2 linked regions of the Bombyx mori genome follow. The protein of the gene in region 2 interacts with the protein of the main gene of each other region in a biochemical or structural test. Links are inferred from orthologs where the notes say so. Each region holds a gene or a part of one and is shown on either strand. Other genes may lie near its edges.

Region 1 (3,746 bases), on a different chromosome or scaffold from region 2:
TGGACCTGTCTGATTTGTATGTTGTGTCGGTTGCAACCATGCTGCTACAGTGAGGGTAGATCTTTCATTCATAAACTGCATGCACGCACACACATGCAAGTCTTCCCTCGAACACAGTAGCAAGTGATAGGGCCAGAGCCATCAATTTTAATATTTATTTTATTTACCTTGAGGTGAGGAGGGAGTGTCTTAAAGAGAATTGGATTAACTGTGTGAATGAAGAGTATGAGTTCAAGAGATAACATATGATAAGCTTTGACTAAAAAAATAAGTGTGGGAAAGTGACTGTTGTACTATAGAACTGGGACTCATCTCAAAGTGGACAATGGAGTCGAATACAGAGCACTCCATCTATGAACTTTTATTCATTGTGGTTTATTCAGAGAGAGGCAGTATTGAACAATTCATTACAAAATATGTTAGATGCTGTTCAAGATAAACTGTGATCTTCTATCAATAAAACATGTATCCAGGTAACTAATGTTTCAAAGGATGTTCTAAAAATAAAACTGTTTGTAAAAAATCACATTTATTATTATTTAATTACAACTAAGCTAAAATTAAGATTTCTGATCCTTCAGTTTTTCCAGTTGTTGCCTGAAATGAAATAAAATTGTTTCAGATATAATTTACATTTGGTAACTGCTCTCCAGCAGTCCATACTCATCATATGTAATGACTAATAATGTTAGAAACATAAGTACCAACAACTAATTATCTTAAAAGATTATACAGTACATGAGAGTCATTGCAAACCAGCGCAGATCGTCCCATTCGTGCCTTCCTGCAGCAATGTACTAAAGGAGGCTGATTTCTATGGAAAGCATGTATCTAACTCAAACTAGACTTCAGTATTATATTTCAGAGTGGCCAATTGAGTTCCTATTATGGTCTCTATGTGCTTTAATTACTGATACTAAGTGCATACTCTTATATAACCAGAAATATCAATATTTATAAAAAATATTCAATCTATCTTTTTACACAAGATTTATAAATTTGAAACAAGTTTCAATGCTAATTGTATGTACTAGATGACATTTCAACTAAAGATTGATTGCTGTAACATCAACATAAAGGTATTTAATAATATTTAGAGCAAACAAGAGGCATGTTCCTGCTGTAAAATAAAATAAAAACTAGGTGCGTTCGAGGCACGAGACAAATTAAAAATATAAATTTATAAAATTTTGTTTTAAGGTTTGGGTTTTAAATAGTTCTAGAACTTAAAATATAGCTTACTGTACTATAATATTAAATGAAGTCACATCAGTAGTGTTCGCTTAGAATTTACTGGTGATAGGAGCTCTTGTGAGTATGTACGGGTAGGCATCACCACCCTTCTGCCGTAAAGCATTTCAGTTTGAAGGGTAGGGCAGCCGTTGTAACAATACTGAGACATTACACGGGCGGCATTAACGTTGTAGATGTCTATGGGCTCCAGTAACCACTTAACGCCAGGTGGGCTGTAAGCTTGACCACCCATGTAAGCAATAAAAAAACATGGACATTTATTCAGATAGCATAAATATATAATGGAGAACAGAAGCTTGGTCCTTATTATTCTAAATTTAATCAGAAACAATACTGTCTACGATTTGCTACCAAAAGGTTCTTGGCTACTTTGGTCATATTTCTCAGCGGCCACCAAACAACCTTGAAAAATTGTCTGTAGTGGGCAAGGTAGAAGGGAAAAGACAGCCGGCCGGCCGCCGAACTGTTGGTCGGATCAGGTAACCGCGCTGATCGAACTCTCTGTTGCGACCGCCCTGAGAGAAGCCGAAAACCGAACGAAATGGAAGCTGATGGTACAAAGAGCCACGAAGGCCTTTCAGGGACATGACCTTCAGCAATGGGGTATGCGATTAAGAAGAAGAATCAAATACGACAGCAATTGGGCCCATATGAAGGTAACAGAAATCTTTAAGATCTAACCTCAACTGCTGATTAAAATCATCTTGGATGACGTCGTCTTCCCAGTTGTCTTCCCAAACCGATACATCTTCATCATCAGCGTCTTCTGTACCCCAATCTACAAGAAAATTTGAATTAAAATAGAATGAATGAAAACATTTTTTGTTAATTTCTTAATATTCTTCATCTGGAGGTTTACGTACTTTCCGCGGGAAATTCTTCGAACTCGTCATCCTCTTCTAGCAAACCAAGGTCTACTTTCTGTTTGTCAGCCATTACACTGTGATGATTATTGAAATAAGGAAATATCACTTAATGTAGCAGAATAAATAAGATGCAAGTCACAACACAACTGTCACGTAAAATGTAAATTCACAACAATAAACAGTGTTGCCAGATGACCGTGCGAATTTCCCCCCAACTTTTTTCGAAAACCCCCCGAAAATAGGCTTTTTGAAGAAAAAAACCCCCAAAACAGTTTTTACTTATTTTAAAGAAGAAATAAAAAACCAAAAGGATTCTTTTATTTTTTAATCAAGCTATCCCTATAACTTCAACCATCTCTAAGCAATTATCACGATCATATTCACTTTCGTTATTATTATTTAAAGCATACTCGTTTTCGAAGTTAAAGATATTTAACAAGTCCGATGTGGGAACAAAATTTATACATCTATTTGGCAGTGAAGATCGAATCCTGAGAACCGCTTCGGCAGTTTCTATTGCTATTTGGTTGCATTATTTGTCCTTTATAATATTGACTTGTAAATAGTATAGTAGACTATAATTATTCTAATAGTAATTGCAAATTGATACTCAAAAAACCTCCGAAACTTCTCCCAACTAACTTTTTCCCCCCGAATGTCCCCCCAAAGAATCTTTCTCCCCCAGAGTCGAAAAACCCCCCAAATTTGCAGGGAATCCCCCCCATCTGGCAACTGTGACAATAAATTTTGATGTCAGAACAACGTGGTGCTGCCTGTATTGTGGTTGTTTTTTCCGAATTTAGAAATATTTAAGCAACTAGGTATTTGTTTTCACATAATATATTTCATCTCTTTTCCACCATGGTACCCCATGTCACCGTAGTAGAGTTAATTCATAGTACTTTTTTATATCTTTATGTAATATCTTTTTTGCCATACACCATCTGGCTTTGGAAATAACTTTTCTGTACGATGCTTCCTGAGCGCAATGTCTTATTCTTCTTAAAACGAGTGTTGATAACACTACTACAAAGACAATAAAAAGGGACATATTCCGTTTGCACTTAAATTTGATTCGAACAATCTCCACCTTTAAAAAAACGAGTTCATCTTAATAGTTTTCTTTACCTAATGCAGAAAAATTATCAAATCAAAAAGGATCTGAAATCCCTTCATTGTTGAACCCTTTTTTAAAAAAAAAAAATCCTAATCGTACTCAAGGTTGGAACCTTGAGTGTTAGTCGTGGAGCCGGTTAAATTAATATAATTGAAGTGTGAATGAGTAACCTAATTTTGCCGCAAGAAAAACAATTACAAAATCTGTGTACTTAAAAGTATTGCAAGAAGTATTTCTACTTGCGTGTCCTAACTAACATCATCGACGATTCATTTGGTATCCGAATCGTGAAAGTATAACTTTTGTGTTCAAAGTTGAGCTTTCTATCTTTTTATTTTATTGTACTAGTATTAATGATTAATACTTTAGCTGCCTTCTTGTTCACAAACACGAACATAACTTACCTACTCTGTTTATCATTGTAGGCAATGAAACAACTTAATAACCTTACACTCGTTTATTTTTAAAATATTGTCGGAGGATAAACAAAGTACTTAACTTATTAATAA
Region 2 (2,683 bases):
TTCTCAGTGGCAGCCAAAAAAAATTGAGAAAAAATTGTTCAATGAACAATGTCGCTTCTATGTAATATTGTAAAATGTAAAATATCTAATAATTTCATTATTTTTTTAAATAGAAATCCCATATTGGTAATTTTAAATTACTGAAAACCAATTGCCTTGGCCTTATTAAATTTTCCCAGCTACCCATTGAACAATCTGGTGGAGAGGGTAAATGCATGTACATCGATACAGAAGGAACATTCAGACCGGAAAGACTGCTGGCCGTTGCACAGCGATACGGTATGGAAGGTGCGGCAGTCTTGGACAATGTTGCATATGCAAGAGCTTATAACACAGACCATCAGACCCAATTGCTAGTGCAAGCTTGCGCCATGATGGCAGAGTCAAGGTAAATTATTTTATAATAGATCTATTTAATTGTTTTTCTGAATTTGTTATAAATTTTTTATTGTTTTTACTTGTGAATTATTTTTATACTATATATATATTAAATAATTTGATTTTCAATTAATTTATTTATTACGCATTAAAAATTTATCTTACGTGCATACAATTTTCAGATATTCCTTAATTATAGTTGATAGTGCAACCGCTCTATACAGGACAGACTATTCTGGACGAGGGGAACTGAATTCTAGACAACTACATCTGGGTCGTTTCATGAGAATGTTGCTCAGATTGGCTGATGAGGTAAGTAAATATTCCACGTAGTTTCCTATATTAATTATTTCAGAAAATACAACTGTAATTTAGTAAAGTGCTTACATAATTAAAATCGTATTGTGAACAATTTGGATTTTCTTTATAAATATTTCTATCTATTGAAACAGTTGAATAATGATTTCGAATTCAAATCACGGATGGTATTTATTTTCAAGTGAATTTTAATCCTATTATGTGATAAACGTAAAAGTTAGATTGTGTTATATTTTGAGAGGCAGTGTGTATATATTTCATGTACATGTATTTTGATGAGTTACCAATAAAGTTTCAAATCTGTCATTCCAGTTTGGAGTAGCAGTAATCATAACAAACCAAGTGGTCGCACAAGTGGATGCTGTAGGAGTTTTCAATGCTGATACCAAGAAACCAATCGGAGGTCATATCATAGCGCACGCGTCCACAACTAGACTCTATTTACGGAAGGGTAGAGGTGATAATCGCGTGTGTAAAATATACGATAGTCCGTGCTTGCCCGAAACAGAAGCTATGTTTGCGATTAGCGCTGAAGGCATCACGGATGCTAAGGAATAATAATTTAATTAAGGTGATATCATCACTGCCATCAACCTTAAATATCATTTTAAACAACGTAGTAGTGTATGTTAACAAAGAAAAAAATAAAATAAAAACTGGAAAAGAAACAATGAATGTACATAATATATATAACCACTCAAAATGAAGAAAATGGCTCTAAATCCAAAAAAAAAATATGATGGAAAAATAAGTATATTGGAACATACACTCTTAATTAATTTATATAATTTGGTAGATTATTTTAGCTCATTTAAATGGCAACATCAATTTGTGTGAATGAGCTTAGAACATGTTGGTAGCGTAGTGATGTGTGAATTGTTTTATTTTGTTAATACAATAATAACTTACGGACTTATTCATCGCGACTTATTGGACATTTATAATTTTCCAAAAAATTATAAAGGTCCAATAAAATAAATCCAATTTATAAATTTTAAGTTTATAACTATTAATATAAATAAAATGTAATGTTTGTTCTCTATGAATTCCTAAACCATTCATGCGATTGTGATGAAACTTTGTAATTAATATTGGCAATCTAGAAAAGGTTTGTTGCAGTACCAGCAACATATGACAGACAGCACGTGAATAGTTAAAAAAAATTTGTTTCTTGAACAATTGGCGACGGTTATACGTGACAGCTTTTCATTAGTTCACAATAAATCTGAATAAGACCATATAATAATATGTAGCTGCGATAACTATTATAAATAAAACCATTTCATTCATTAAATTATCACTGTTTCGACTTTATATATAAAACTATCTAGTATTTCTTTTCACAATATTAAAGGCATTTTATGTAATACCCATTCATTCATTGTATTTAAGCATTAATTCCAGGATCAACTGTAAATAAGTAGGTATGTAATTTAAAGAGAACCAGTGTCAAATAAAACTATTTTTACATTTTCATTATTTTTATTTTTTCACAAAATACAGGCTTAAAATTTGTTATATTCTATTTTCAACAATCAGTTTTATATCCGTCTAAATATATACATTCATTAATTATTCCGAGAAAATAACATTATTTTTGATACATACATAATACCTTATAAATATTATTGCTTTTATTTCATTCTTTACAATAAATAGGTTTTTGTCAAGGCTAGTGCTCTAAAAATCGTCTATCCTATTCTTAATTTATCTGAATTTTGTTACCAATAGCTATTCATATATACCCTGTTATTCGTAAATTTGCTAGAATTCAACAGTCACAATTGAAAAAAAAAAACTAAAGCGTTGACCTATTGATTAATTACGTAGTTAATAGAGCCTCTGGTCCTCAGCCCAGCTCAACCTACGTCCAACCTATTCCGTGTAATATCTTCCTGTTATTACCTAACTATACGCCTGCACTAGACCCGTCTTGATTTGCCGATCTCAGATTTACAATCGCGGGTAGGAGTGAGGCGGGCACCCG

The links.
Region 1: the proteins of Rad51 (region 2) and 26S proteasome complex subunit SEM1 form a complex in vitro, tested with the Homo sapiens proteins (2 studies listed by BioGRID). The link is inferred for Bombyx mori from reciprocal best matches to the Homo sapiens genes RAD51 and SEM1.

Annotation. Positions count from the first base shown.
Region 1 is NC_085129.1:15,972,837-15,976,582, forward strand, and holds 26S proteasome complex subunit SEM1, read right to left. Parts: upstream 2,263-3,746; 5' UTR 2,191-2,262; coding exon 2,118-2,190; exon of another isoform or gene 2,033-2,117; coding exon 1,866-2,032; 3' UTR 513-1,865; downstream 1-512. UniProt on the Homo sapiens protein: Component of the 26S proteasome, a multiprotein complex involved in the ATP-dependent degradation of ubiquitinated proteins.
Region 2 is NC_085131.1:10,825,723-10,828,405, reverse strand, and holds the end of Rad51 (rad51 homolog), read left to right. Parts: intron 1-179; coding exon 180-388; intron 389-560; coding exon 561-690; intron 691-1,008; coding exon 1,009-1,254; 3' UTR 1,255-2,172; downstream 2,173-2,683.